Tribolium castaneum: one gene and its partners. The protein of the gene in region 1 purifies or fractionates together with the protein of each later gene. This does not show direct contact. Links are inferred from orthologs where the notes say so. Each region holds a gene or a part of one and is shown on either strand. Other genes may lie near its edges.

The links.
Region 2: the proteins of Syx8 (region 1) and Vti1a purify together in Homo sapiens (affinity purification with mass spectrometry; 3 studies listed by BioGRID and IntAct, with this or other methods). This does not show direct contact. The link is inferred for Tribolium castaneum from reciprocal best matches to the Homo sapiens genes STX8 and VTI1A.
Region 3: the proteins of Syx8 (region 1) and Vamp7 purify together in Homo sapiens (affinity purification with western blotting; 3 studies listed by BioGRID and IntAct, with this or other methods). This does not show direct contact. The link is inferred for Tribolium castaneum from reciprocal best matches to the Homo sapiens genes STX8 and VAMP7.

Annotation. Positions count from the first base shown.
Region 1 is NC_087394.1:35,393,397-35,396,480, forward strand, and holds Syx8 (syntaxin-8), read left to right. Parts: upstream 1-1,178; 5' UTR 1,179-1,458; coding exon 1,459-1,490; intron 1,491-1,538; coding exon 1,539-1,733; intron 1,734-1,781; coding exon 1,782-2,011; intron 2,012-2,059; coding exon 2,060-2,152; intron 2,153-2,212; coding exon 2,213-2,373; 3' UTR 2,374-2,442; downstream 2,443-3,084. Other genes in the region: uncharacterized protein LOC103312255, read right to left, coding at 1-921; cytochrome b-c1 complex subunit 2, mitochondrial, read right to left, coding at 2,501-2,587, 2,636-3,084. UniProt on the Homo sapiens protein: Vesicle trafficking protein that functions in the early secretory pathway, possibly by mediating retrograde transport from cis-Golgi membranes to the ER.
Region 2 is NC_087399.1:4,595,918-4,598,801, reverse strand, and holds Vti1a (vesicle transport through interaction with t-SNAREs homolog 1A), read left to right. Parts: upstream 1-1,366; coding exon 1,367-1,567; intron 1,568-1,615; coding exon 1,616-1,966; intron 1,967-2,014; coding exon 2,015-2,167; 3' UTR 2,168-2,354; downstream 2,355-2,884. Other genes in the region: large ribosomal subunit protein eL34, read right to left, coding at 1-114, 1,012-1,076; tkv (bone morphogenetic protein receptor type-1B), read left to right, coding at 2,846-2,884. UniProt on the Homo sapiens protein: V-SNARE that mediates vesicle transport pathways through interactions with t-SNAREs on the target membrane. These interactions are proposed to mediate aspects of the specificity of vesicle trafficking and to promote fusion of the lipid bilayers.
Region 3 is NC_087402.1:8,581,350-8,584,478, forward strand, and holds Vamp7 (vesicle-associated membrane protein 7), read left to right. Parts: upstream 1-1,393; 5' UTR 1,394-1,585; intron 1,586-1,637; coding exon 1,638-1,841; intron 1,842-1,893; coding exon 1,894-2,122; intron 2,123-2,177; coding exon 2,178-2,245; intron 2,246-2,293; coding exon 2,294-2,458; 3' UTR 2,459-2,471; downstream 2,472-3,129. Other genes in the region: uncharacterized protein LOC103312779, read right to left, coding at 1-1,119. UniProt on the Homo sapiens protein: Involved in the targeting and/or fusion of transport vesicles to their target membrane during transport of proteins from the early endosome to the lysosome. Required for heterotypic fusion of late endosomes with lysosomes and homotypic lysosomal fusion.

The DNA of each region.
Region 1 (3,084 bases):
GGAATACTCCGGCAGGACCATCAAAAATTGCGAATATAGTGTTTCAGGTGTTAGAAAATTTTGAGCCTTTGCCTGTATTTGTATGGTTTGGTTGTTCAACCCGTCTATTAAACACGAAACTGCGTCCTCTCCAGTGATTTTGCACGCTTCAATCAGGTACATTTTGCTGAAGTAGTAGGTGGTCATGCTCTCATCAGCTTGCTTCAACCGTGTTACTAATCTCTTCAAAGTGGTTACAAAATCGGTATTGTCCGGGAAAACCTTACAAATCAAAAGTTTCCACTCAGGCCAAGTGTAGTCATAGTTGGGCAAGCTGTTGTACCACGCTTTCACAGTCCCGGACATTTGAGACACCATATACTGGATGGTTGTCTTCTCATCCCAGTTGTTCTGGAACGACATCTCCTGGATTTTGTTGATCCACATGGACGTGGTGAACGTGTGTCGTCGCGGCTCCAGATAAAACTGCTTGTCGAGTCTATCACTGGGTCCCTTCTTCTCAACAACACTGGGCGGTTCCACGTAAAACGGCTTCTCGGCCCCTTTCTCGAGGACACTTGGTGTGGGAGCTGGGACAGTACTACGTTTCATGAACTCCTCCAACATGGTCTCCAGACGCTCCAAACGCTCCACCGTGGAGTCGGATGTCTTGGTGTCCCGGGGCTGCGATTTGGGCTCCTTCGGGTGGTAGGGCTCGCTGTTTTTCTCATTTTTGCTCGACTTGTCCTTCGAATAAAAGCTTGACTTCTTGTCTCTATTCGTGTGGTGCAGGTACGACTCTTCGTCTGAGTTTATGGAACTCAAGGAGTCGTCTTGGTATTCGATGGCTCTGGCCTGGTCCCGGGTTCGATCCCGCGGTTGGTCGTTGAAGCGGTCGTAATCATAGGGCTGGAGATTGTGGTGGTGATGCCTCCGACTCATTTTCCAACGCAATTGTTCGTGTTATTACATAAAAAAGGATTTTGCCACTCACAAATACACATCAAATTGACATTTGGGCAACTGAGAATTAAATTCCAAAACTGCCAACCGCAAACGAAAATTTACCAAAAAAATCAATTTTTATTTTGAGGCGTTATTGCACAAATACGTCGAAGAAACTGAAGGGAATTAACAAGACCGAGCATGTGGGTTTATCGTCAATAATTTTCGTTATCAGTAAACTCTTTTTTTCTTCAGTAGAATGATAAATCTTATCAAGCAGTGAGACCAATATCAAAGTGGAATGTCCCCACGTCAGAAATTTGATAATGGGGGCTGTTTGACATAAATAATTAATTATTCACGCGTTTGTAGTTTTAGTAAAAATTGGTGCAGTTAATTGTTGTATTTGTTACATGTTTATATATTTGAGATAGGTGTGTAACAATCACGTGGTTTGCGCGGTCACATCATTTGTGGTGCTTTAATTATATTTTATTTACGTGTGATGTGATCTGATCACGACAATTCACAACAATGGCTCTTTTAAATTTAGGGGAGGATCCCTGGTATGGTCAAAGTAAATACGTAAATTTATTTAAAAAATTCTTTCTTAGGTTGGTTGAATATGAATCCTGTGAGAAATTGTACAGAGATATCATGGAACAGCTAATGCAGCGTCAGAAGCTTCCCAGAACCAGTGATAAGTATTCCCATCTGTCTGCAACAATTCGTTTGAGACTAAAACAATACAATAACGAAGTTGGACAATTAAAGCAAAAATTAGACATAACAACCAGAAGGGATTCAATGTAACTCCTAGTTTTAATTTTGCCGAGACTTTATTTCATAATTTATAGCACTGCGGCTGAGTCTGAACGAAGGACAAGACAGTTAGAAATCTTACACTCAAATGCGATAAAAATGCAAAATTTGTTCGAAAACCAAGCGTCAAGTAAAGCGCAAGAGGATAGAAGGAGGCTCATGGGAGAGGCAGGGGCTTCTGCTTGGGGGGATAGTCACAGTAGCGATGAATTATCCAACTATTCAGTTGAACAGTTAAAGGCAGATCAAAAAAGGATGCTGGGAGGTATTCTTATTAAAAATCATTGAGGAGTGTTTTAAAATTTAATTTCAGAACAAGAACAAGGACTCGATAATTTGGCCCAAATAATATCGCGACAGAAAAATATCGCTCACACGATTTCAAACGAAGTAGACTTACACAATGGTATGATTACGGACTATCTTCAGTTACTTTAAAAAGAACATACGATTTTTATTTTTTCAGAAATATTGGATGACTTGGGGACCCAAATCGATCGAACCGACACCAGAGTTAGAACTGAAACGCAGCACATTTCAGTGGTCGAAACCAAAGATAAAACTTGCGTTTATTGGGTTGTTATTATTTTATTATTTATAAGTATAATCGTGGTTGCAGCAATTTGACGCTTGAACACAATTTTTTTACAATGTGATTTATATTTTATTAAACAAATAAACAAATACATATTCTAACATGTATAAGTTTAGTTTAAAACAGAATTTATACAACATAAATTAAGCCGACTTAAGTTTACTTTAGTTCATCTAAAAATGGTACGGTGCGCAGTTGGCCAACGGAGGCTATTGATAGTTTACCTGAAGCAACTTTCTTGAGAGCCTGAAAAAAACACGTTAACAAAAACTAGACTCGCTTTTATAAACTTACAGCATTGACATCTGCTGTTGTGATTGAATCAATCTCTGCCACCACCTGACTTGGCGATTTCGCCGACCCCAAAACAGCCGCCTGACTTCCGAGAAAATCAATAGCGCTTGAACCAGACTCATTTTTAATAAGAAGCGCCGCTTTCAATTGATTCTTCCCTCTGTTAACATCCGCATCGGTCAAATTCCCAGCTTTTAGCAATTTGAATGCTGCTTGCACAATTTTCCCGGCTGTGGCTTCCGGTGCTGCAATCAAGACACCAAAAATCCCGGCATCACTGTAGCTGGCATTGAACGTATTGAGGGCGTATTTGGCATCGCCTTCGCCTCCAACAACTTTACTCAAGGCCCCATTGTCTACAGACCCCCACTTGACTTTGGGGCCTCCGCCTAGGGCTTTCTGAAGGACTGAAACAGCAAGCGCTTCTTTGGAATTCTTCCATGGGGCGC
Region 2 (2,884 bases), on another chromosome or scaffold:
TGCGAACGCGCAGGAAGGATACCCCTGAGTTTATCCTTGCACTGTCCGCACCTCGGGATCTTCTTGGGCTTCTTTAGGTATTGGTATACCAGTCTACCGCCAGGGGTGCGAACACTGAAATATAAAAGAATGATAAGTGATGTAATTTACAAAAAAAATCCTTATATAATTTAGTCAGTCAGAGATTGAACGAAAGAGTTTGTCGTCACTTAACTTCAGGACTCTAGCCAAAAGTCATCATAGTGTATGATGTCAACTTTTTTGCAGGTGTATTTTAAATAAACGATTAACAACTAAAATTGCCTCATTTTTTCCAATTTTCTGTTATATCATATAAAAGGTCCTTCAACTATTTTAGACTCGCAAAACATTTAATTAAAATTAATTTCGATGACAGATCACAGAATAATTTAAAAATAAACACAGTTTTTGGCAGACGTGAAAATTTATTACGACACTAACAAATTCACGTATTTTTTATTTTATGAATGACTTTATTTTGCAACTCTTCAAACGTACAATTAATTAGCATACACTTATAACAACAAAAAAATATAATTTCTAAAAACCAATACAAAATTTCAATTTCAGTCATTATGAAATTTTTATCAAATGAAAACGTATTTAATTATTGCTGCAACAATTAACAATTCTGTAACTTTTTTCAAGAACTATTAAAATTTAACATACGTTGAAATCGCAAATCTACCAGCTTTTTTGAACAGTTTGATAACAAAATAGGGTAAGAAATAATGGAAAGAACCCTATCATACAAACACAAATTAGTTATTCGTTTTTTGTTAAATGAATTAACTGATCTTTTCTTAAATGAAAATACTAATGAAAAGACAACATCATTTGTCTCACAGTCAGAATACAAAGGGTAGAAGGGGACAACAGAGGTTGACATGACCTAACCTCAAGTGTACTTTTGTGCACCCGTAAAGTGTATTTTTCATATTACCACCTTACATTATACTTTTTTATCAGTCTATTAATTACTGCACTTACATGTGTCGCCTGTTTGATTTCGTATTGTACGACAATCGTCGTCTAAACACCAACCGCTGCACCATGTTGGCCTGCAACTAAACACCCAATTTTAGCAAAAACTACCACTGGAAAACATAAATATGAACTAAACCGAACCACAATTAACAAATTTAAGTAAAAAATAACAATTATTTAGGCCGATGATGGCAGATTTTTAATTTCTGAAAACACTTCAACTAACCTGTCAAATGTCACCAGCAAAGAGGAGATTTTGCGCAGTCTTGCCAACCCACAAAACCACTAGTCAGCCGTCGCCATCTACGAAAAAAATGTCTAAGTCAAATTTCTCTTGATACAAACTGCGAAATCAGAAATGGTTTCACTTTTTGAGAACTATGAACAGCAATATTCAGTGCTCACGGCCGATATCACGGCCCAAATCGGCCTTCTGGGTGCCTCGGCCACAAGTAAGCCTCCCTTGATTCACCTGTCAAAAGCCTTCATTTGTTTTTCAGAGGACCGCCGCCAACTTATTTCCAACATCGAGAAACATGTCGAGGAGGCGCAAGAACTGGCAAGTCTTTAATATCCCTCTGTCTAGCCTTAATTTATTCATTCGTAGTTGGAACAAATGGAATTGGAGGTTAGGGAGGTCGAATCGGCCAAAAGACAAAGGTGCAGGACCAAGCTAGATTGCTACCGTGCTGAGCTCAAGCGGCTGACTTTGGAATACATCAAGGCGCGGTCGATAAAACAGGGCGCGTTGAGCTACGATAGCGCGGAAGAATTGAACGATGTGCGGATTTCGTCCGATCAGAAGCAGAGGCTTTTGGACAACTCGGAGCGGATGGAGCGGACGGGGCGGCAGCTGGAGGAGGGGTACAGAGTGGTGCTGGAAACGCAGGACATTGGGACGCAGGTTTTGCAGAATTTGAACGAGCAAAGGGAGACTATCAAAAGGACGCGATCAAGAGTAGTTTCTTCAATATTTATGAATTAAGAATTATGTTTTTTGTTTTAGTTGAGGGAGACTGACGAGGAGTTGGGGCGGTCTTCGCGCCTCATGAGCTCAATGATAATGAGGTCCATTCAGCAGAAAATAATCTTGTTCATTGTTGGTGCCTGTTTCATAATAGCCCTCTGTCTGGGTCTTTATCTGGGCTTGAACAAGTAATTTTGCGTTCTCTTTTTAGGAACTGTACATATGTATCAAAAAAGTATTCTATTGTGTCATATTTCGTATTTTTTGTTATTTAGTTATACATTCCTGTTATTTGTGATGTTCTTCGCACTGAGTTGTTAGCGGTAGTGAGATAATACTTAACTTATTTTAATAATATAAAAGTACAAATTCTATACAACGTGTCTTATTTCTTACCTTTTTAACTCCCAAATGTTAAAAAAAATATCTAACATGAGTTGAGGTTTTATTTCTTTTGTTACATTAATTTGTGAAAGCACGTCCTGTTGCCATTGAATAATTTTGGCGAAATATCCGCATACATAATGAATTTGCGGGTAGACATAAACAAAAACAAATGCAAATTGTTAAATTTTATCTTGATTGTTATCGACATTGCCCTGATTTTGGGTATTTTATCAGCTTCGTATCTTTTGTTTATTAAATCTTTATATTCAAGGAAATAGGGATGTTGGTCACTAAACTAGAAAAAGTGTTAAAATTTATTCCTGTTGGATTTTAAATGTGGGCGCCACGCGTTGCGGCTCTTCGTCCGCTAGATGCCGCGGCATTTCGTGCAAAACATCAAGTCGCCATCAAGTAATCCTGTGTGGTGGATTGTGTTATTTGTGTAAGGATTTGTGTCCTTTTGAATGCATTTGTGGGTGTAAAATGGCCGATTCTTACGAATCGGGGGTGCATTTCGTCAGT
Region 3 (3,129 bases), on another chromosome or scaffold:
CGTCGCCACAAACTGTCTCTTATTATAGAACGCACACTTAGTCATATTTGCGTAATCACTTTTCAGCGACAAAAATTTCATGGTTGTTAAGGTGTGCCAAAGTGTGTTTTCAAATTTCTTGAAACGGTCTTCATTGACTTGTATCACTTTTTTGGATTCTTCAATCTCAATCTGTGTTTTCTTCCAGATGGTTTCCAATTTTCGGTTTTCGTTCAAAACTGGCTCGGATCTCGCCCGTTTTAGTAACTTGGCGGAGTTTGTTTTCACTTCCAGGTCAATAATACGGCCCCTTAAACGCTCATTCTGTTTATTTTGTACGCTTGGTTTTGCAATTTTCTCAGCTAGTTGTTTCTTCATTCTTCTGATGTCGTTGTTCTTGTGCGACATGTCCAAAGCAGCTTCGATTCCCTCAGGTTTCGGCACTTTTAAGTTAATTTCAGCGCTGGTTTTGCTTTCGCCGTGCCTGAATCTACAACGCGTGATCTCTTCTTCGATTATTTTATTGATGAGGCTTGTGAATTGTTGCGAAGTGGCTGCGTTTGACAAAATATCAGTGCATGCGACAAGTTTCCTCTTGATTTTGTCCAGTTTTTCGCTGTTTGAGTTGATGAGGGCATCCTTCTCGAGGATGTTCACCAGTTTGATGATATTCTTGAAGAGAAACTCTTGCGATTTGAGGATTGCGTGCAAGTTGTCAATGATGTGTTCCTGACTTTTCACTTTAAACTCGTTAATTTTGGTGTGTTCACGGCGCAACCATTCAGGGACTGTGTTCAAATTTTGGTTTTTCGGCAACTCTTCCAATTTTTTATCAACGGTTTGCGGCACCAAAGCAACAGTATGTGTATGTTTCTCATTTTCTTGCTTTACCCGGTTTATGTGTTCGTACAAGTAGCGGAGATCGTTCGTCACAACGTCTCCCTCACAGGTGTATTTGCTCGAGTTGTTGATAAACTCCAACATGTTTTCAAACGGGATTATTTGGGTCGCGTTGCTGTATTCGGTCGAAATTTTTCGCTTGAAGTGCATACATTTTTTGATATATTCGTGGAGTGTCTCGGCCGCTGCTGTGGTTAAAACCTTCCCACGCAGTAACAATAAATTTAACAGGAATTCCATAATTTGCGCCATGAAATTGAAATGATTGGAATTATTTGCTCGGCCACATTTTTTGAATTCTTTGACAACGCGCCACTCGATTTTCAAAAACCACAACATCTAACAACGCTTGTAACACGTTTTATTTGATTCAAATAAATCTCACTCAAACTAAACCAAGGTGTTACTTTCGGTATCGTGGCCGAATTTTACTATGAAATTATTTTTTTGGAGAAATTTTGAAAATGCACGGACGCCACTGGTGTGGTATTTAGAACATCGACTGAGTCATCGCTGACGCATGCGCACTTTGAAACCAAACGTCAGTGTGACACATGACGTTTTTGTTATTGTTCTCAATTTTTTATAATAATACCAATTAATTCAAAGATATTTGTGTTCGTTGTGCGCGTTTTTATCATTGTTACGTGTGTGGCATTTTTGGCGTTTATGTGAAGGTGTCAACGTAAATCGGAAAAAATAAAACGTAATTACGTCCCAACTGTTTAGGATCAATTAACATTGTTTATTCATTATAGATGCCAATTCTTTATAGTGTAATATCTCGGGGAAGCACCGTTCTAGTTCGATATGCCTCTTGCGCCGGGAATTTCGCTGAAGTTACTGAACAGATCATCGGAAAAATACCACCACATGATGATAAGTTGACGTACTCGCACGGGAACTATTTGTTCCACTATGTTTGTGAAAACCAAGTTATTTACATGTGTATTACTGACGATGTAACGTGGAATGTCGCGTAAATACTTGGTTGTATTGTCATCATTGTTTCAGGAGTTTGAGAGGTCACGGGCGTTTTTATTTCTCAATGAAATTAAAAGGCGTTTCAGGTCCCAATATGGGGACTCTATCCAGACTGCGATTGCATATGCGATGAATTCTGAATTTTCCAGGGTTCTAGCCAACGAAATGAAACATTATTCCGAATCCCATGATGTGGATACAATTTCAAGAGTTCATGGAGAGTTGGATGAACTTAAAAATATTATGGTCAAGAATATAGGTGAGTGTGAATAAATATTTTGTATGTGATATTTATTACTGCGTTCATTGATAAGATAATGTGGCGATGAGGGGAGAAAGGCTGGAACTGTTAGTAAATAAAGCTGAAAATTTGAATAGTGGGGTGAGTATTTAATAAAAAGTTGTTTTTTTTTCTGAAACTTTTTTTCAGTCTGTGACGTTCAGGAAGACAAGTCGCAATCTGGCACGTTCCATGTTTTGGAAAAACGTTAAGCTTTATGTTATCATTGGTGTGATTATTACTGTGATTGTTTATTTTATTGTTTGCATGGCTTGCGGAGGGCTTCTCTGGCAGGGCTGTATTGCTAAGAAATAAAAATTTTAAGATATTTTACTTTATTCATTACTTAAACACTGTACCGTTTTATCTTTATGTAAATAAGATTCCGCAAAATTAGTGATAAAAACATTCTTTTATAATTATGTAGTTTATCTTCGTTAATTTATAATTTTGTAATTGTTAAGGTATCGTTACTTGAATAAAGCAGACAAAATATACTCTTGTTTTATTTTCCCTCTAGTCTTTTATCTAATCACGTATTAAAAAGTCTCAAAAAATTCAAGAATTAAACACAAAAAAATCAAGAATAATTGTTTTAGTTGGTAACAAATTTAAAGAATTTTCTTATTCAGCAACTGGATACGGAGAAGCTATCATTAGTCGAACCACTTAAAAAAAAGATTTAGATTTGCCAACTCGAGCATTCTTTTTGTAGATATGTCTCATATTAGGTCTTACTAAAAAAAAAATTTAGAGATTCTGCAAAAAAAGAAAAGGATTCTGTGTTAAAGAAAATCCCAACGACAAATTTAAAGCCAAAAAAAACAATAATTCAAAGAGAAAATTATTTTTTAAAACTGACAGCTGTTGCTAATAAGATCTGAAACGGACCATACTCGTAAATTGGCATGTGATAAGAATTACTGCTTTCAAAGATTGAAATACAAAAGCTATAAAAGAGATATAACATTTAAAAAACGTAAAAG